Linked DNA regions of Schizosaccharomyces pombe. Each later gene encodes a partner of the first gene's protein in a complex. Each region holds a gene or a part of one and is shown on either strand. Other genes may lie near its edges.

Region 1 (8,119 bases):
GGAGACCTAAGGAAGAATTGCTTAAACTACTAGTAGCACCAATTTTTAAAGCCGCAAACGAAAGAAACTGCAAGAAAAGTTAATACACAATACAACTAATGTACGTACTTCAATGTCTTCCTCTTCAATTTCGCTTTCAGTGACTTGTGAGCCACCCGCATTAGGTTCATTAGTATTTAAGATGGAGAAAGTATTTTCAGCATTCATGTTTTTCTTCTGTAGTCTATTAAAATATTCGATTCAGTTGCCAGCTAAATGACGAATTGCACGGCCAACGTTCACTTGTGCATAAGTAATTTGTGATATTTAGCAAATTAAATATTACAAAATAAAATATAGATACAAGTATGAAATTATAACACAACACTTGCAGTCCAACAAATAGACATACAACGTAGAAGAAAAAACCACCTTTACAAGTGCTATACACGTCGCTGGTGTTTTGTATCACATTCTTTTTTATAAATTATTTTACTACACTGCACTAACAGTTTTAACGCACCATATCCTAGATTGGTATTTCTAAGTTAGTCAGAGGAATGTGTAATCCTGGTATCCACTGCCTACTACATTGTCGATTAAGTAAATTGAATTCATAGACGCAATGATGGGAATAAATGAAAGAAAAGGTTTTGATTTTGAATACTATCAAAGGTAAGGTCAAAAGTTATAGACTTGAAAGTGAGAAGCCAGAGTAGTATATTAACGACTCACAATAGAAATTTGCTTTTGCAGGAAAAAGGGTTCCCAACTCCAAAGGCTACATCAACAGGAACTACTATCGTTGGTGTCATTGCCAAAGATTGTATTGTCCTAGGTGCTGATACTCGTGCTACAGCTGGGCCCATCATTGCTGACAAAAATTGTAAGTTGCATTTATTTATAAGCATAAGGCTTTTTCTGACCTTAGAAGGTAAAAAACTTCATTTAATTTCTCCCAATATTTGGTGTGCTGGTGCAGGAACTGCAGCAGATACGGAATTTGTTACATCAATGATTTCCTCTAATATAGAATTGCACTCTCTTTACACGAACCGTAAACCAAGAGTTGTTACTGCTTTGACAATGCTAAAGCAACATCTCTTTCGTTATCAAGGACATATTGGTGCTTACCTTGTGTTAGGTGGTTATGATTGTAAAGGTCCACATTTGTTTACCATTGCCGCACATGGCTCAAGTGATAAGTTGCCTTATGTTGCATTAGGATCCGGAAGTCTTGCAGCAATTTCTGTTTTAGAAACTAAATATCAACCAGACTTAGAACGACATGAAGCTATGGAGCTTGTTAAGGAAGCCATTGAGGCTGGTATTTTTAACGATCTAGGATCTGGTTCCAATTGTGATTTAGTAGTTATCGATGAGGAAAAAGCTACGCCATACAGAGGTTATTCCAAACCTAATGAACGTGCAACAAAACAATCTAAGTACACCTATGATCGCGGCACCACTGCAGTTCTGAAAGAGGACATTTACAAGTTCGTAACTGTTCAAGATCTTGATGAAATGCAAGTTGATGTATAGATTTTGCATCTATAAGGCTTACTATAAGGCCATGATACCTATATGTTGCAGCTCCTCTCGCTGATTATCGTTTTTATGTTCTATTTGAGATTTAAATAAAGTTTTTCTGATGCTTCACAAAATTTGATTATTATAGAAAACTATTTTTACTACTCTCCTTACGGCAACGCATTTCTTAAACTTTCGTCTGAGTAAATAGATAAAATTGTTACGTTTGTTGGTAAAAAGCCTACCATGTAATGACAAATATGAGATCATCAAACCTCAATAATCTAATTACTAAGTGAGCGATACATATCTACTTCGTTTCAGTTTTGAAACTGTGCGAGTTCGTTGGTTTAAACCGAGTCCATCGTTTGTTAGTGTTGCTTATATGCATACTCTTTACAATAACCAACTGTGATAAATCAATAATTATAACTGTTATCAATTGTGAAAGCATAAAATAATATGAAAACTTGTAGATTTCTATATTTCAAAAAATTGATTGCATAGCGAAGAATAACGCACTTCTTCCTACGTAGATGGAACACCGTTGTATGCAGCAATATCCAAATTGCCAACTAAGAGATATCCAATATGGACTCTGGTACATCAGTGGTTTCAATTTCAGCGGACATTCTTCGACCTCCCGTTTTAACAGCTGCCCAAACTTTTGGAGACAATGAAAATGAATGTCGCGTTCGATTAGTGTTAACTGCTCAGCAAGTCCAAGAATGGAATTTGTTACCGCAGGATATTCAACAGGAAATATTAAAAAATGGCCAAGTTCGTGTAGAGACATACTCTTCTTCAAATACTGCTAGAAAGATATTCATATGCACTTCAAGTGTTTCAAACCTTGCTTCTAGTATACCTGCACTTATAAAAGTTGTCACTCCTACTAAAGAAGAAGACGCTTCCTTGAACATCAATTTAGCAGTATCATCTTTAATATTGGGTTCAAAAGTTCTGATTCACCAGAACTTAATTCCTTCTTTGTTTTCTGTTTCCAATTCAACCAAGCTTTTATACTCAGCATCTCTCCTACCCAGATCCTCTGAAAGACTGGTTACCTTGGAAACTAATGAAATAGATGCTTCAGTTGTTATTGAAACTTTATTAAAATACATCCTTTCAAGAATTTCTTTCATTCCCCGCGTTAGCGTTGTACCTTACATTCCAGATGCTGCATATGGCATATATGGTTCGCCTTCTACTTTTACACAATTTAATCATATGAGTAGTATGGTAACACCTGAAAACCCTTATGGAATCCCTCCTATAGCTCTCACTAGTGCCGGAGGAAATCCTGATCCCCTTCGAACCACTCAAGTATTTCCTCACTCTGGACCCTCGATTCCTTTAAATATAGCTGCAACCCAAGTCGTATCTCAGAAAATGTCCGTTCCATCTTCTTTACTCGATCAACTTTATCACGCTATGGTAAGCTCTTATAAATATTTCAGATAAGTATACTAACTATATTGTTCTAGCCTCATAAACTGATGGAAATATCTCAGAATACAAATGCTAACATAACTGTTGAGGAATCAGACTCAAACAGCAATGAGAAGTTTATTTCGGTTGTTGGTACCTCGGAAGCTAATCAATCTGCTTTAATGCAACTTTATGCTGCTCTTATATCGTTAGGCAGAAAGTAAAAAAAAAAGCTTTAGAATGTTTCTGACAATTTTGCTTGAAATTAGAATTGTTTCATACATTTATGTTAAATTAGATTTAATAATTAATTCGAAGCACTTTGGGTATTTGATTTTGTTATATACAACGTTGATAAAGCTCAGCAAAAAAGAAAGAATTATGGACGTGTTATGCGAGATTTCGTAAATTTATTTTATACTCTCTTGGGTTTTGAAGACTTTATTTTTTGTGAGCAAATAACACAGGCGGATTACTTGCATCTTTTCTCAACAAACAAAGCTCTGTCAACACCTACTTCATCGTACTCTTGCTTAGATACCCACAAATGTTGAAAATTATCCAAACTAGCAAGAATTGAGCCACCAAACCAAACGGCGTTGCTTGTGGCAGAAGCGGTTTCTGCGGTATGAACATTGATGCGACTTCCAGTAGCCAACCGCTGAACCTCAGCTTGTAACCTTTCTGATAATCCAGGTATTAAGGAAGTTCCTCCGGTAACTACAATGTTGTTCAATAGAGGAGAACGTAATTCAGAGTCGCAAGCAAGGATGGATTGATAAACAAGTTCATGAAGACCCACGGAACCCTGTGGAGGCGTTGTTTCAGCACTTCTGCTGGCTGAAAACGAGGGATTAAAGAGTATTTCACTAATGCGAAACCTCTCTTGACCAAACTTATGTGTAACCCCATCCGGAAATTCAAAAGGCTTAGGGTTTCTAGAGGATGCTTTTGCTTCATCAAACGGGGTATCCAAAACATCTAAAACGCTTTCTTTCCATTCTTCTATGACCCTACGCTTCTGAAAAATTTCGTAAGAAGAGGTAAGATCTTGAATAGGTGGATACAGTACAGCTGGTTTCACGGCATCTGCGCTGCCGTTAGCCATATTACCTGATTGTTGAATGGCAACCGATTTTCTAGCAATTCTATAGTGTGGAGGAAATTCTATGTTCATAGTATTAAACAATTGCTCAATATTAGCATTCAAAAAGTCGCCAGCTAAACTTTGTTTAAAAATTCCTTTGCGTATAATCAATCCATCGACAACAGGAGTAACGCTAGCATTATCTGAGCCTATATCGACAATTAGCGCTGTAGATTTGCTATTGGCAAATGCCACGCAAACAGCTTGTTTTGTCAAATAAAAAGCAGGAACATGAAGTTGCTCGAAAGCAGCTTCCATGATTTGTTGTCTAACAGATTGCGGATTCCAGCTAGGCTCAGTAATCATCATAGCATACTCTGTGGGATTTACCTGTAGTTTTTCTTTCAGTCCACGCTCCCACGTGTACAAAGTAGATTCCCAATCTTGTATAATCCCATTACTTTTTCCGTTTTTGACTTCCATTCCTGGGATAGGAGCATGAATTTGTAACTCATCAACAACATATTTATTTCGACCAGTCACATCAGATCGAACACCGTAATATGAAGGTAAGATAGTCATCGGACTTTCTTCTCCTGCATAACCAAATCTTGTCCAACAACTCCCAGGATCTATTACCAATGACGGAATTTCCTCTAAAGTATGGTCATTAGCCATTTCATGCCATTGTCTTCGTCTCAACACATATTATGGTTGATTAACCGCACTTACCCATGTCTATGTAAATAGTTTAGTATAGTTTTAAATGGATAAAATATCCTTTTAGTAGATGCAGGAATTATATAATTATTAGTCTCGTAAACCTTAGTTTCGTGTGTTGGATAGCAATACTATATAAAGAAATTTAATGCATCGTTGAAAGTGTTAAGGCGTTCAGTAGTCGTGAATAGTGAACTCTACAATTTACGGCTTTTTTGATCATATACTTTAGAAATATTCATTTATTTGTTTCTTAAGCCATTGAACTAGTTAATGTTTTAAAACAATGCAGAAGCGAAAAAGTAATTTTCTGTCTTTAATATTTATGGAAAACTTCGAAGTAAGCCAACTTGAATAAGCAGTTTTTTTGCATTAATAGCTACGTTTTCTATTTCATAGTATTAGTATTTCATTAAAACTTTAAAACAAATGATAGTGTTTTAAAAAGCTAATAGGTAGCTCTCTCTATGTGTTGTTTTGAAATGGTTACATAATTTTGAAACGAAAAGTAATGCTTCAGTTTTTCATTAGCTCCCTTGCCATCATGGTGATCCACCCATACCAGCAGCCATAGCTAAGTACCAGGTTTTACTAGCTCCGTTATCAATTTTATCAGCAGTAAAGGTACTGGCAGCAAAGGTATTGTATGCAGTTTTTGGATCGTAAATTGCATAATTGGACCATAAAATACCAGTCCAATTGTTTGAAAATGTATTTATTATCGGAGCAATTTTGGCGTTCCAGTCTTGTTGAACGTAAGATGGAGAACGAAGGTATCCGCTGATAGGCGTAGTTGGAATCATGTGAATGCCTTGTTTACAATATTCTTCAGCTGAAAAGTAAGTTGCATAATCAACTTTGTTCATGAATGTAATTCCTGTCACGTAATTGCCGAGAATTTGTGAAGGCTGTACTGAAGTAGTGGGTGTCATGTATATGTAGGTATTTAAACTGTTCTTTAGGACGGCGAGCATCAAGTTTGCACGGTTGATAAGAACAGTATCATTTCTCACCATACCCCACAATTTCGTTGCATACAGAAAGTTGAAGTCTTCTGAGGTTGACTCTTCATCTTTACCGTCTCCACTTTCAAATATACCTGTTGCCCATGAATGTCCAACAAACCAGTCGAAGTTTCTAAACATAGCAAAATAGGTGTCACTTTCACTTGGATTTGCACTGTCTCTTAATAAAGCATTTACATAGCGAATGTTATCATTAACCAGCCAGGAAGGATCCAATAGACCAATTACCGCACATGCGTAAATATGATAACCCCAGTGAAAATGATGGTCATTATAGTAGGTATTACCATAATCTGCTAAAGGAGAACTATATCCTGCCGTACTGATGATACCTTTATATGTGGTATCATAAACGAGGGGATACATTTGCGTATTCGTAGTAAATCTAGCCATGGCTTGCTTCAATTTTGTCAATCCAGTGTTAGTGAGAGTGCTATCACCAAGGATTCTAGAAGCTACCAAACAAACTTGAGCATACATGGCTACTATTTTTCCAGACGTGTACATTGAGTCAAGGTTACTGGCATTTACGACATCGAAGTTAATATCAGTTGCACAAGCTGCACGAATCGCGGCTAAAGCAGTAGGAGAATACGTATTGCTTCCACCATTCCAAGGAATTGGTAAAAAACCTACCTGCGTTGGAAGATTTTTTTCGATTAAATGCCAAGTTTTAGTAGCATAGGCAAACATTATACCCATTGTTGTACTGGCTAAGCCTAAACCTGTTTTGTACGCTTGAGTGTCAGAACCAAAACTTTGCATATGATGGGGAAGAGCAAACATTAGCGGATTTAAGTTAGTATATCCAGCTGTAGCGAAACGAAACCAATATTCCCCGGTGGTACCGCTAACTTGAGCTGATAGAGAAATAGACGTAGTATATACACCAGCAGAAGCATCATAGATGGTATCCGGATATGAATTATTCACGCTTTCGTTTGGAACTTTACATATTTGTATGAGACCGGTAAATTTTGTAGAAGTAGTTAGTTGAGAATTCGAAGCAAGAGTCAAATTGAAGGTACTGCTCGAACTCGTAGGAAATGCGTAGAGAAACCAGATCTTTCCATCTGTCAATTGAATTCTATATTTGTAGCCCCTACTGAAATTTATTTTAGTAATTGATGAGAAAAGGATGGAGGAATTGAATACAGGAGTCAAATTGGTATAATAACCACTTACAAATCCCATGCCAGCAACAATGGGTAGGATTATAGTCCCTGAACCAGAGGTTGTAGCGCTAAGAGTAGCCTGGATAGAGAAATGACGAGATTGGTCAAGGGATAAGAGGTTACCCGAAGCAAATTCTCGTGCAGAAATGATTATGGAATAAAGTCCAGCAGGATTAAAGTAATATTGGCATGGAACCGATTCTGGGTCTGGTCCAAACACGCGTTGGCTATCATCAATATGTGAAATCGCAAGTCCATAATAGCTGCTACCATTGAGCCAAGTTACTGAGTAAGGATGTGACCATGATGGATTATGACGGGTGCCAATGTACAAGTTACCATAAAACTTGTTTGTTTGAATTGGAAACAAATTACTTGTTAGCCCAAGAGGAGGAGATGGGTGTGCTCTTGATGGAAAAACCGGATTGATAGGTCCAGTATAGATTGGTACTAAAACATCCATTATGTCGTCTGACTATGAATTGAGCAAAAAAATTTGATAACGAGTGAAAGAATAAGAAAGGATCGAAGCAAAATTTCTAAAAGTCTAATTTCGGATGCTTTTTCGAACTGTCGATGACGGGTTTTACACTAACGAGAGTTTTAGGAGTATGCCACCTCAAAAATTTGGAACTAACTAAAAAATGAAACAACACTCAATTATTTGTCTTAAATAACTTAGCGAAAGTAACAGTAAAGACGGATAAAAGCACTGCGCTGAGAAATTCACCGGTCCTAAAATATTTATGAATTCACGCAAAAGTACTGAAGAAAAACTGTTAAAAACAGTAGTTATTACTTTCACTATTAAAACCCGATAGAGGGTGAGGACAGGTTGCAAATTCTACTCAAAACTGATATAAACCCCATCTCATGGTATCATTGGTTCAACGACTAAGCTATAATATTAGATCTAAACAAAAAACAAAAGAAACATATTAAAACTTTACAAGTAACTTAATAGATTAATGCAAATACTGCATAAACCTTTGTATATTTATTTATTGATTTTACATACTGCAAGTTTTTGTTTGATTTAATTTAATGCGATATTGTAAGCAAAACATTTTTTAGTAATGCCAAACAATAGTAAATAATTGGAAAACAAATAAAAAAAAGAAAAAGCCAATGTAAATGAAAAGAAAAATAAAAATAAATAAAAAGAAGGATAA
Region 2 (7,743 bases), 750 kb from region 1:
TTCAACGTCATCAACGTCAGTTTCAAGACTTGGCGAATTGCTCGACATAATCCCTAGCAATTTTGTCAAACGAAGGGCGATCGTTTCGATATTGTTCAGCGATGGAAGCTACAAGAGGATCGTCAGGATTAGGTTCCCTAAGAAGTTGCAAAATTTGCTCCAAAACACTCCTCAGTTTGATGCTGGGTTTGAAAACTTGTTGTTTCAAAATGGCCAAACAAACGTTTCCTTCAGAGTCAAACTAAACAGGTTAGAAAATTCATAAATATATAAATAATTATGTATCTCGTTTAAAAATGTGATCAATGATTACTCCATACAGAAATACGATAAAATGCTTACATTTGGATGGTATATTCTGGTAGTAAACTCAATAGTAGGAGGCTGAAATGGATAGTCCAAAGGAAATTTTAATGAGAAATGAAATTTTCCCCCTGCGTACACCGAATCCGATGGACCAAGAGCTGTACAAGCCCAGTGAAATAGATTGTCGTCAACTAGGTTAACTCGAATATCTGGAATAGGGTGTTCTCGCAAGTCAGAATATTCCTGGTTACCATTTGAATATTAGCTATGTAAGAATAAAGTAAAAATATAAAAATTTACTTACTTTTGTCAGTCTTCTGGAAGATGAAGGTGATGCAGACGCCATTTGGTAAGGGTAGAGAGCAGTAACTACATGCGAGGACTTTACTGAACGTTTAATGGCAATTAATAATTGTTGTATTGTTTAAGGAAAAATTGATTCTAACATTAAATATAAATTCATCATGCGAAAATAGGGCACATTACTGGGCTGTGATTTACAACTTAGTCTAGGATGTATATCACGGACAGTATTTTTGTATTGATTGAAGTTTTTGGTTGGATTTACAATAACAACTTGGCAATCCGAGTCTGATAGTTACACATTGAAATCAATCTTAATAGAATATGTACTTCTGTATACATATTTAATCAGCGTCGCTAGCCGAGATTTAATTTAATTCTTTTTACAACAAATATAGAGTGGAAGAATACGCATTCATTTCAGACGCTCTTTAAACTTTCGAAAAGCTAGATTTTCAATTGAAAGCGGCTTTCATCTCAAGTTGAAACTAGGCATCTATGAGCCTGTTAACTTTATTTTAAAAAATTTAATTGCTAATGAGAAAGCTAATTTTGCAATCTAGTCTGTGCCGTAGCACGACTTAATACAACCTAGTTGTCATTTTCAGGCTTTTCTATGCTTTCTAGCTTTTCAGCATTAATGCTGCGTTCACTTTTTTGGAAGCCAAATTGTGTGAAAAACATCCCTAAAAGAAAGGAAGCAAAGGCAATTTTCCATTTGTTGGTGTTAGAAGATGTACTACCATGATTAGCATATTTTCCTTCTTGCGTCGCTTTTCATCTGTGAATGTTTATTTACACTCATTATTTTCGTCGTAACTTACACCATGAAAAGACCGCAAGCTGTCAACATCGCAGCTTGGTGATTAATCCCATGCAAGACAATTAATTCTCCATTTTTTTGGGAATCGTCTTCATTAATCCCTTCAGATTGCAGTGGCTTCCTTGGAACGACCTTTTCCTTCTCTTCTACGGTTTTGCAGTCTTCTTTAATGTCCTTTGGTAATTCTTTTTCTTCATTGGGCTTCAATTCGGACTTGCTAAGTTCAATAACACATTTATCAGCATAGGTAAGCCATTCATATGGCGTTCTCGATATTCCCCTTTTCCTATACGGCTTTTTAAAAAATGGCATTGTAAGAATAGTACATACACAACAAAAAAACCATTTGGTTAATGTAGGATTCTGTGCTATGTAAACAAACAAGTTCATCGGAGATAATTATGCAACTTCCATGTAATTCAAAACACTAGCAAATATACAAATAGAGGTATTTACTCATTTCGCTTTTTTTCCAAAGAAGTACATTTATCATCTGAGCTAGTGTTGCCAATACAGCGCTATCATATTCAGAATTTATAAATCCATTGACACAAAAATTTTCAATATATTTTAAATTGAGCATATTAATTTAAGAAATCAATCTCGGTAATGCATATATATATAATAATATACAGATTCTATGAACACCCCATCCTCTATCTCACAAAAAACTAATTACTGAATACATTCAAGATGCAAAAAAAAACAAAAAAAAGACAATCTGTGTTTTTATGAGACTTCAGCACTTGCATCTATAGTAGTTCAAAAAAAGCAATTAATCAAGCCTCATTTTCAATTCTGTCTTCCAATTGCGATGTAGCCTCCGCCTCCATTCCGCGAAGCGTTGCTAATGTGCCATCCTCTTCCAGTTCTTCAATTTTGGTTTCCATAGCCGTTTGCATTTTGTTCGCATCTTCATAGACAAAAGAACCTTCCTCATTATACGTCCTAGCATTATTAAACATTGTCATAAGATCCGATTTCATAGCTTCTAAAGTTTTATAGAAAGTGCCATTGATATGCTTTCTAATTGCATCAAGTGCGATAGGGGATTTAATTATCATGTAATAATCAGGATATAACTTCTTACTAGGAAGCTCCAAAAATAGTTTATTCAGAGGACGACCATTATCATCTTCAAGCTCATTAACGGCCTTGTATATTTCAAGGCACACACGACGAAGTAGCGAACGGTGCTCTGAAGTAAGTGTATCCGGAGCCGGTCCACGTTTCTTCTTTGGCTTTCCATTGAGTGTAAGAGCAGGTGTTTCGTCAACACTCGCTATATTACGCTTTGGGCGACCACGAGTTGGACGAGCTTCAGATTCCATATCCATTTCTGCCATCCACTGAGCATCTCGTACTGCTTCGTCATATACAACTGGGGTACGTCTGCGGGCTCCTCTACCGAGTGGTTCTTCCTGCAACAAGTCGGTGGTTTTCTCAGGTTCTTCCCTTTGGTAAAATTCAGGAAGCTCACTTACTTGGATGAGTCTTTCTTTTTCTTTATTCTTACCATATGGCGATTCCCTCTCCAAATCTTCAGTCATTTGTTTGAAAAGTCGCAACTCATCGTCACCTCGGGCAAGTATCTCATTGAGTTCATCGTCATCTAACTCGCCCTTCTCATCATTTTCTTCTTCACCGTTTTCGTTCTCCAAGAGCGAACGCAAAAACGCCTCACGTTCCTCTGGTGTTGACTTGTTGTCAAATTTTCCTGCTTGAATAACTTTGCCATCAATGTCCAATTTATATTGGGCTCTAGCAAGAATGTTTTCCTCTACCGATTTTTCAGTAATCAGTCGATAAATTCTAACCTCTTTGGTTTGTCCAATACGATGAGCACGATCTTGTGCCTGCAAATCTTGATGTGGGTTCCAATCCGAGTCGAAAATTATTACAGTATCAGCAGTTTGAAGATTAAGCCCAAGTCCACCAGCACGAGTACTTAACAAAAACAAATTTACTTCAGCAGTCGGATCATTAAATACTCCCAATAACTTTGAACGATCATCAGCTTTGGTAGACCCATCAAGCCGCAGATATCTCCACTGACGATAATGCAGGTAATCCTCCATGATATTCATAATTTGAGTCATTTGGAAAAACATTAATATACGATGACCAGAACGAAACAGTTTAGGCAAAATACGGTCTAACAGTTCGAATTTGCCAGAAACTCTCCACAACATATCATAGTTAAATCCTGTTGGATCAATTGAACGTTCCACGTCTTCAAACACAAAAGGATGATTACAGATTTTCTTCAACTGCATGACCGTATTCTGTAAGCCTTTGATACCAGTTTTACCGCGTTTAGCATCTTCCACATACAACATTCCATGCTTCTTCATTTGATAATAGAGCTTTTGCTGAAGCCCCGACATCTGACAACGAATAACCTTCTCAACTTTATCAGGAAGCTCGGCTTCAACATCCTTTTTAAGACGTCGCAAAAGAAAAGGACGTAAGACCTTGTGAAGACGGCGAATGACAAGCAAAGATTCTTCTTCTGTAAGTTCCATCTTATCCTGCCCGCCTGTATTAGCAAAAGGAGTATTGAACCACTCATCAAAACTTTTAATGGAATTAAAAATCCGTGGTAATACAAAATTAAGCAAAGCCCAAAGTTCCGGAAGATTGTTTTGTAAAGGAGTTCCTGTAAGGATAAGACGATAACGTGATGAATAATAGGTAGTTAAAGTATTTGTTAACTTGGATTGTGTGTTTTTCATACGATGTCCTTCATCAATGATCATATAAATCCATTTAATACGACTTAAAAGTGGTCGATCTTTTATGATATACTCGTATGTCGTCAAAAGAACTTGGAAATTAGAGTGACGAACTTGAGGATGCAAAGCTTTTCGAACTTGTGGAGGTCCTTTGTAAACAATCTTTACAATTGATGGCGCCCATCTTTCAAATTCCATGGTCCAATTTGTTAAGGTCGATAAAGGAACAATTACCAAAAATGGCCCATTCTGCCGTTTTTTCTCGATTAAGTGGGTAATAAGAGAGATTGTCTGAATAGTTTTACCTAAGCCCATTTCATCAGCAAGAATACCGTTCAAATGATTATTATACAGTGAAATCATCCATTGCAAACCACGTAGTTGATATTCCTTCAGCTTTCCTCCTACTAAAATAGAAGGCTGTTCAGTGACGACTTCACGAATATTATGAGCAACATTATAATAATCAATCTTTCTATCGTCTTCAGGATTCATTCGGCGATCCATATCTTCGTCATAGGCCGATTCACCAAATTGAGACTGTTGTACTTTAACAGCAGCCGCCAAGGAATCCAAGTAATGATCAGTTTGCCGTAATAAATGAGTAATTCTTGTATCCTTCGCTTGATCAATAAGTTTCAAGTAGGCCTCCTCATCATTCTCCTTCAAGGCTTGTAATCTTTGCTTTGCATTGCGTTCAGCACGACGCTGTTCTTCTTTTTCGATATGCGAATGATACGCCAATACAGCGCGATTCGCTTTCTGAGCCCTTGCCTGAGCATTCTTGGTTCGGACATTAATCTCTCGACCATGGGCACATACAGTTTGCAGATAATCGCACTGTTTTTGCTTTAACCTTCTTTCGCGATCACTTCTTTGCTGGCGCTCTAATACTTCAGTCAGGCGTGTAGCTTGAGGAACTAGCTTAGGACGGCGGCATGACATGCGTTCTACGGCATTAACTATGGTACGTAAATGCGGTTGGCAATGCATCACTTGATGGCGAAGAGATTCTTGCTGTTTGATGAGTCGTAATTTCTTCAATTCAACTAGCGCATTACGTTTGATAGTATCCAAGTTTAAACGTTCGTTGTCATCTTTTAATTCTGCAACATCCCGCATCACAGCCGGATAGCTTTCCAAATCCGACATTCGTCGGAACATCCTATTCTTTATAGCATCATCTTCCGAAATTTGATATTGCAAGTATTTTCTTTGCTGCTTTGCTGATGGTGTTATTTGACAAGAGCCAAAATCGCGTCGCACCTTCCCATCGACTTTAGAGTTCTGTAAAGGCTGTTTAACTATACTCTGAAGCAATTGCTCATCTTTGGAAAGCCTAAGTAACACAGATAGTATACAGTCGTCGGGTGCTGGAAGATTTTGAGAAAGCTTTTTGTAAGCCAAAACTTGTTGTTTCAAAATCAGTTTCTCCGTATTCTTATCTACGGAAGAGAAACACCTTTTAATGTGTCCTTTTAAATCCCTCCGTGCTTCAATTTCTGACTGTGCTGATCGCAAAACATCACACAATTGAGCATATTCCGTATTATCGTGCTCAGTAGCGCCAGACTCTTTCAATTTCTTCCATCGCTAAAAAAACAGTTAACTCCTTAGGTCCCTACAACACTTACCACAATTGTTTCTTCCACTTCATTTCTCGTGTATTGCTTCTCTGCACGCATATTTGTGATCAAAAATCCAAATTACCACATAAATAGACGATTTCCAGGTCGTTATTATTGAAATAAAAAACAAACAAAATTCTATCACAAAAGTGATTGTACGCCCTTAGTAAAAAGTGCTTACTTGCCAATTCTTGCAAATCGTTAAACGCTAGGTTGTTGGAAAGGCATACTGCACTTCCAACCCTCCATTGTGGCAAACAGGGCATCAGTCTTATCGTTATTCTAAATAAGGTTGTCTAAAGAGAACGCAAAAAAATATGAATATTAGTAAAGAATGGTACATATATATGTCTAACTACACCTCAGATTTCATCTAATAAAGAGGAAAGTAATTAAACACTTTTCTCTTTTTATACACGAAATTAAATAGTATATGAAATTGCACACATCCCAAATCGACAACTCAAAAAACTTGCGAACTGAGTTAATATTAAAGATTTTAACACACCCAACCAAAAATGATATTTTATACAAACTTAAGTAGTCTTAAAATTATATTAGAGGCTAAAGCCATTTAGACATGTAAGGACCATCCAATGTGTATCCCAATTTTTGATAATATTTTCGAACGCCAACACCCGAAATTCTAAAGTAATGTTAGTAAAGTAAAAAAAAAATAAGGATTAAGTCTTCAGAAGGTCAAAATTTGAAGTCCATTTGAAGAGTTTAAAGACAACTTACACACTGATCTTTTTACTACCATGCTCATACTTAGCTATCCGCTCGGCTTCTTCTAAAAGTAATGTTCCAAAACCTTGATGTTGGAACTTCTTCGGATCTCTACTGTGAACAGGAACGGCACTGCCATACACGTGAAGTTCGCGAACAAGTGAGGTAGGCTGAGAAGTAAATTCTGGTCGATATGTCTTATCGGAACATTGGCGAAGTCGTAACAAACCAATCAAGATATCTTGTTTGGGATCTTCATATGATAAAAACGTTTCCCATCCGCCATTAGCAGTATAGTCTCGGCGAAGTAATTCAACTTGCTCAGGATGAATTTTATGATGCACTTCTTGCATACCTACTTCACGAGCACGAATGTCTCGACACTTTGTGCCTAAATCTCGCATTCTATTTAAAGCAAGTTCTCTGAGATTTCCTGTTTCTACGCCTGAACTTACAAGCGGCATTGGGATATCTCTTTGAATACGGTAAATACGGGTCCATGGAGGTACCAAAGCGAGAATTCTAGCAATAAGATCCACCAAGGCATTGGGGGTATAGTTTTTATATCTTCCCGTTTTCCATAATTCATATAAACCAGTACCACGAATAACTAATGTAGGATAGAGCTTTAAACCATCAGTACGGAATGCAGGGTTTTCAAAGTACTCTTGAAATTGGAATATATCTCTTTCCATACCAACATTAGGCAAATCAGGCATCATATGCGTAACCACCTTGTATCCAGTATCCTTAGCCAACTGGAATGTTTCGCACACAGCTTTAACAGTATGTCCTCTATTGGTGTCTCTGGCGACATCCTCGTAAACACTTTGGACACCAATTTCCAAACGAGTACATCCGTAACGAAGCATTTCATCCAAATGTTGGTCTAGGCAATAATCAGGACGCGTCTCAATAGTAATGCCAACACATTTTGTCTCAGATTGCTCAGAAAATTTGACTGCTTCATCTAAATCTTCAGTCGTAGCTCCTGAAAGAGCATTGTGTAAATTAGCAATAAATGTGTGACGGTAGGATTCAGGTAATGACATGAAGGTACCGCCCATGATAATGTATTCTACTTTATCGACTGTGTGGCCTAACGACCGCAGTTGCTCAACACGTCCTCTAGCCTGTTCATAAGGATCATAACGAGCGCGAATCGCACGCATACTAGTTGGTTCATAACCAGTGTACGACTGTGTCGAGTATTCAAAAT
Region 3 (6,211 bases), on another chromosome or scaffold:
CGGTGCTGAACATCATATTCAAGAAGAAGAGCTTCAGTTTCAGCTTCCTTGGTTTCCATTTCTCCAAGATCTCGAACAAAATGACCTTCTGGATAACGACTAGAAGCATCCCATAAGTCTATAGCTACTACAATACGACGACCTACAAGTCTAGGCGCTTGCCTTGTTCGAAATCGAATCTTAGGTACTCGCCTATCCATAGGTGTTAGCAAAACTGTTTGCTGAGAACCGCCTTTTGACTGGGCAATAGTAGCATTATCAACATGGCCAACGTATGGGCGCCAATTCCTTTTTAAAATACCAACCACCTTAGCGGTTGGATGAGCATTTCTTTTCGTAATCAGTTCCAAGTCATTTATTCTGGCCGAATCGGGTTCTGCTGCAGTACTCACAACAACGTCTTCATCATCATCAGCTATCTCTTCAGCTTCCGTTTTCCATTGATCTTGAGGTAATATTTGAATGCAAACGATATCACCTTGCACAGCACGATTTAAATTTTCTCTTCCTGAAACTAGCACGGGCTTGTTGTAACCAGGAACAACAACAGAACCTTCTAAATAATTATAAGTACTAATATTGATAAGTCCTTTATGCACTTCCCCATTTTTTATACAAGCTAACAGCCTAGACATAGACCAATGTAGTTCATATACGTTTTTTGTTCCAGACTCTACCTGCTCTTTAGAAGCAATGGCGTCCGCAATGGCCGACACCATATCCAGTAAAATTTCAGAGTCGGGCAGGTACTGAACGTAGTCTTTCAATGTAGAGACTTGAATACCTTGTTCAGCAGCCAAGCGAGCATTTTCGCGATCATCGGTTAATAAAACAATCTTAATACCTAAGCTGGCCAAATGACTGGCAAACCAACTAGCCGCGTTGCGAATTGCACGATCATTACGGTCATTAGCAGATTCATCATCCAATCTTTCAACGAACGTATCAACAAAAAATTCATTACTAAAAGGGGTAAATCTTTTAGTTTTCTCTTGGCAAAGGCGTTTCATTCTATTGTATAGAGGAATAGATTTTGAAGAAATTTCTGAAAAAACCGTTTGCAGAATAATGACATCGAAAAAATTATTTGGATGTTCTAAGGCATCAATACAATGGTAAAATATATTGGAATCAGGGATTAAATAATGATGCCCAAATTTCTCCAAGAACATGGGCTTCTCTGATAAAATAGGCTCTAACACTATCGTAAGAGTTAATTAAATTTTGCTTCACATTAAAAAAAAATGAAATTGAATAGTAAATGAATTAGTTTCAATAGCTCTCAGAAATTAACTTCACAGAAAATTATACCAACTAATTCCAGACCAATGCAAATTACTCATGTGGGATTCCTTTAATACTTACCATTTCCCCTCGAGTCCTTTGGAAGTTTAGAACGGCAAAGAGGGCAAGCCCGACTTTGACAGGGTATATCATTTCGTAAATATTGCTCACGAACAACTTTTTGAACCTTCCCCCTGGTTGCACGAACAAATACTCTATCTCTGTGATTCTTCTCGGAGCTTTGAGGCCTCTTCAATCCTGAAACAGTGCTCATCCTGTAAATCTTCAGAACACTGAAGATTGCTTTACTAGAAAAGTTTTAGACCCTGGAAAAGCTACTATCACTTACGGCATTCACAACACAACACTACACGTTATTATTTTAACGCAGGATAAAAACTTCTCATATTTCACACACCGAGAACAGACTGGGTCTCGTAATATTTGTAAATAGAGCAAAATTGCAGACAAAACTGAGTATTTGAAGGTTTTTTCTTTAAAACAAAACGCAGTTATTTAAATTTCATTAAAGATTAAGAAAAAATATACCTTTTAAGGTTAATTTTTTGGTTTCCAGTCCACTACTTAATCTAACGTACAAGTTATAAATATGTTTGTAATATTTATTAGCTAATTTTATTTTTTTAAGTAATAAATGATAAAGTTGAAACAATTAAATGTTATTTCAACTGAATTTATAACTCCCACCTAAAATTATGACCCACCAGACTATTGTTTGAATTGGAACTTTACATTAAAAGCAGATAAAAGTTCAAATGGCATACATAACTTCCTTTCAAATTACTTTGTGTGGAAGCAAGCAGCTTCTGATCTTATTACTTTTAGAGTGTTTATTTGAATTTGGAAACGCCAAGCAAAAGTAAATAATTTTGCAAAAGTGTTCAGCTTATGAAATTTTAACAAAGGTTTTCGGTTTTATTAAAATCGTAGAGTAACGTCGAATTTCAGTTTTTCTGCTACGCCTGTTCCACGCTGCGACCCTACCACCGCACATTGTTTAAAATATTTATTGACACTCGTTAAGGTAAAAGACTGTGAAATTAGGTACAAGTCTATAAAATCACGCTTGGTTTTGGAATTGATATTCGTAACATTTTCGTTTGACACCAACTTTTCTTATGGAAGAAGAAGATATCACACTTGAACATTCTGATGACTTAAATAAAGAAGAATCTGGTGAGTCGAATAGGGTGAATATAGAAGAACCTGAACATCATGATAATTCAAATAAAGAATCTACAAATCTTGATGATTTAAACATGTTGGAAGAACCTAAATATCATGATAATTCAAATAAAGAATCTACAAATCTTGATGATTTAAACATGTTGGAAGAACCTGAACATCATGATAATTCAAAAAAAGAATCTACAAATCTTGATGATTCAAATATGTTGGAAGAACCTAAACATCATGATAATTCAAATAAAGAATCTACAAATCTTGATGATTTAAACATGTCGGAAGAACCTAAACATCATGATAGTTCAAATAAAGAATCTACAAATCTTGATAATTCAAATATGGATGAATCTGAAAATCAGAAAAATTTTAAAATTGAAGAACCCAAACCTTCTGGTGATTTTAGAAACGAAGGACCTAAACAGTGTGATGATTCGAAAATTGAAAAACCTGAGCTGCACGTTAATTCAAAAATTGAAGAACCTATACATCGCATTGATTCAGAGCATAATGAACCTGAGTATCACACTGAATCAAAAAATGAAGAGTCTGAACATAATACTAAATCAATCAGGGAGGAACCGATACATCATGTTGATTCAAAAAATGAAGAACCTGTTTACTCCAAAATTCCCGAAAAAATGGGTGATGAATTTTCAGAAAATAGTCTTTCAAAATCTGATTCTGCAGTAAAACAGGAGGGTAATTTGTTGATTCATCCAAATAACAGCCTAAAAGATACCGCACCTTCAAAATGCAAAGAACCTCCAGTTGATGAAGCATTAAGTAAAAAGGAAATTAGTGATGACATTGCTCAAATCACGAGTGTAACCCCCATAACAGAAAAGATTGAGGACAAAGATAAATACATAAGTGAAGTAATTGACACGTATGGCAAACTAGCGGATGGTTTTGAATATCGAGCTAAAACATTTTGCCTAGAAGGACGTGGCAAAGTGTTGTATATGCTTGGTACAGAATGCTCAAGATTACTCGGCTTTAAGGATAGTTACTTCATGTTTCATAAGACGCCATCTTTACGAAAAGTACTTACAACACAAAGTGAGAGGGACCAAATGGTTGAAATGGGTTTGTTGGCATCTAATTTTAGATTTCGACAACTAAGCATTGTTCCAGCTAGACAAATGTTTTTGGCATTCGGTGCTAGAATATTGATGAAGGGAACGATAGATCCAGAGAGTCATAAAGCTCTTATTGAAAAAAACATTAGCTGGGCTGACGATGAGTATTATCATATGGATGTCATGGCTAATGGAAGCACTCGTTCTTCCTCTGTAAAGCTTGAGCTAAAAAGTATGGATAATCAAAATTCACCCTCACCATTTCAAGGTAAGGATATTTTGACGCTTGCTCAGGGTGCTTCTTTTTACAATTCTAAAGTCATGAGGACAAGAAATCTAAGGAAAGAAGCAAGGTTAAGTTATTATACAAAATTACGAGGTGTCAACAGATCTGTTTCATGACTTTATATTAAAAATTATTAATTGCATTGCTGAGCTATCATATTTTCGATCAAGTGGATTTAGGCTAGTTGCTATTGGTTTCTTTAATTTAATCTAAATACATAATATTTTTTACTTTTCTATAACTCTTTTCACAAATACTGAACAACATTTCAAAGATCACTAGCTTTTAAAATACTGAAGCATTGCTAAACTAAGGAAATCTTTCTAAATGTGAATATAAATTACTAATTAGCTTCAACTTTAAAAATAACGAGGTACAATCCAAAATTGTTACATATCGTAAATTAAGTTAATGTACTGTTCCGTACTATAGCATTTGGGGTTAAAAAAGAATAATCGGTAATGTTTTTTCTCTAGACAACCAACTGTAAAATTTGTAACTACAGCATTTTTTACAATGGTTTCCTTAAGTAAGTATATGCACGCGTAACTATTTCTAACTTATTTCTTAAGAAAAAAAGAGTAAAAGAAGAACTACTCGTCTTCGTAGCAGAATTGAAAAGAAAGCTGCAGAGAGCAAACGCAAGCAAAAAAGAGCTGATAAAAAAAATCCGCAATGGAAAAGCAGAATTCCTAAAGATCCAGGTATTCCTAACTCATTCCCCTACAAGGATAAAATTCTTGCTGAGATCGAAGAACAGAAGCGCATTAGAGAAGAAGAAAAATTGGCTCGTCGTGCTTCAGGACAAGTTGATGCTGCAATGGAAGAGGAAGACGCTGTTGATGAAAATGGATCCCTAATGATTTCAAAGATAGCTGAGGCTGCACAAGCGTCTAACCCAGATGATGAGGAAGAGTTTGTGATGGAAGAAGACAACCTTGGAGAGGCCCCTTTATTAGTTGACTCCGAGTCTTATGAGGCATCAGTGAAGGCAGATACCTCTAGAAAGGCATATGATAAGGAGTTCAAAAAAGTTGTTGAAGCGTCAGATGTGATTCTTTACGTTCTTGACGCTCGTGATCCTGAAGGGACTCGTTCAAAAGACGTTGAACGTCAAGTTTTAGCATCTTCTGCTGAAGAAAAGCGTCTTATTTTCGTTATCAACAAAATTGACTTAGTACCATCAGAAGTACTCAACAAGTGGGTTACCTATCTCCGCAATTTCTTTCCTACGATTCCTATGCGTTCCGCTTCAGGATCTGGAAACTCAAATTTAAAGCACCAGTCGGCTTCTGCTAGTTCCACTATCTCCAATCTTCTTAAATCACTCAAGTCTTACTCAGCCAAGAAGAAGCTTAAAAGCTCTCTTACAGTCGGTGTAATTGGATACCCCAACGTTGGTAAATCATCTGTTATTAACGCTCTTGTCAACCGTTCTGCGAATGGTCGTTCTGCACCTTGTCCTGCCGGAAACGTTGCCGGAATGACTACTTCTTTGCGAGAGGTGAAGCTAGATAACAAATTACGTTTGGTCGATAGTCCTGGTATTGTTTTTCCTTCTAGTGATTCTAAAGACGATTTGTATCGTCTTGTAATGCTTAATGCTGTTTCATCCACCAAAGTTGATGATCCCGTTGCCGTTGCTTCTTACATTTTGCAATTCCTTAGCAGAGTTCCAGGACAATTGGAAAGAATGTTTCAAAGATATGAGCTTCCTCCTCTATTGAATACATCCGATATAGACACTGCTACTGATTTTTTAGTCAATATTGCTCGTAAGCGTGGTCGTCTAGGTCGCGGTGGAATTCCAAATCTTAACGCTGCTGCCAATATTGTCATTAATGACTGGCATGCTGGTCGTATCGAATGGTGGGCCGAGCCTGAGGTTATAAACGAAAAGAACTCATCTGAAGTTCAGGATACTCAAATCGTTACTGAGTGGGCCAAAGAATTTGACCTTAATGATTTTTGAGAGTTTTCAACTTACGAAAAAAGCTATTGTTGCTTAGAGCTTATATTTTGGGATTTGGTTTTCGGTTGCGGTTTTTCTTCGGGTTTTAAAAATCTTTAGGTGTTGATGGTTACTAGCTATTACTTTTTGAATTAATATATAAATAATTTTTTTTGCATATATGCCGTATTCTTGAATGTGTTGTTTTACATTTACTTGTAAAAGTAATGTTTGATATGGGAGAAGTTTTAAGTAATAGGTTCGCTAATACGGGAAATTATTAAATCAATGCATGCTGGCTTAAATAAAGTCAATTGAATATGTACGGAAAATGACATTGATACTAACGTGCAGTTATAAGTTTCATTTCATTTTTATATCAATTGATAGGATAAACACAAACAA

Evidence for each region. The genes of interacting proteins can lie anywhere in the genome.
Region 2: arp42 (region 1) and snf21 share a complex: the UniProt entries of both Schizosaccharomyces pombe proteins name them as parts of the RSC complex.
Region 3: arp42 (region 1) and snf59 share a complex: the UniProt entries of both Schizosaccharomyces pombe proteins name them as parts of the SWI/SNF global transcription activator complex.

Annotation. Positions count from the first base shown.
Region 1 is NC_003424.3:4,350,414-4,358,532, forward strand, and holds arp42 (SWI/SNF and RSC complex subunit Arp42), read right to left. Parts: upstream 4,848-8,119; 5' UTR 4,764-4,847; coding exon 4,760-4,763; exon of another isoform or gene 4,684-4,759; coding exon 3,413-4,683; 3' UTR 3,165-3,412; coding exon of another isoform or gene 2,997-3,164; 3' UTR 2,947-2,996; coding exon of another isoform or gene 2,101-2,946; 3' UTR 1,920-2,100; downstream 1-1,919. Other genes in the region: nucleoporin, WD repeat Nup146, read right to left, coding at 1-67, 109-207; pup1 (proteasome core particle subunit beta 2), read left to right, coding at 605-654, 720-865, 914-1,521; U1 snRNP-associated protein Usp108, read left to right, coding at 2,101-2,946, 2,997-3,164; cell wall and ascospore endo-1,3-beta-glucanase Eng2, read right to left, coding at 5,290-7,410. UniProt on the Schizosaccharomyces pombe protein: Component of the chromatin structure remodeling complex (RSC), which is involved in transcription regulation and nucleosome positioning. Controls particularly membrane and organelle development genes.
Region 2 is NC_003424.3:5,098,165-5,105,907, forward strand, and holds snf21 (RSC-type complex ATPase Snf21), read right to left. Parts: upstream 6,014-7,743; 5' UTR 5,853-6,013; coding exon 5,802-5,852; exon of another isoform or gene 5,761-5,801; coding exon 2,212-5,760; 3' UTR 1,984-2,211; downstream 1-1,983. Other genes in the region: TFIIIC subunit Sfc7, read right to left, coding at 1-48; ubiquitin conjugating enzyme Ubc14, read right to left, coding at 23-241, 343-549, 611-652; protein mug95, read right to left, coding at 1,201-1,348, 1,434-1,822; elongator complex histone acetyltransferase subunit Elp3, read right to left, coding at 6,360-6,441, 6,537-7,743. UniProt on the Schizosaccharomyces pombe protein: Helicase. Component of the chromatin structure remodeling complex (RSC), which is involved in transcription regulation and nucleosome positioning. Controls particularly membrane and organelle development genes.
Region 3 is NC_003423.3:3,966,316-3,972,526, reverse strand, and holds snf59 (SWI/SNF complex subunit Snf59), read left to right. Parts: upstream 1-1,782; 5' UTR 1,783-2,423; coding exon 2,424-3,971; 3' UTR 3,972-4,228; downstream 4,229-6,211. Other genes in the region: 3'-5' exoribonuclease subunit Dis3, read right to left, coding at 1-1,201, 1,366-1,558; GTPase Grn1, read left to right, coding at 4,372-4,384, 4,428-5,827. UniProt on the Schizosaccharomyces pombe protein: Component of the SWI/SNF complex, an ATP-dependent chromatin remodeling complex, which is required for the positive and negative regulation of gene expression of a large number of genes.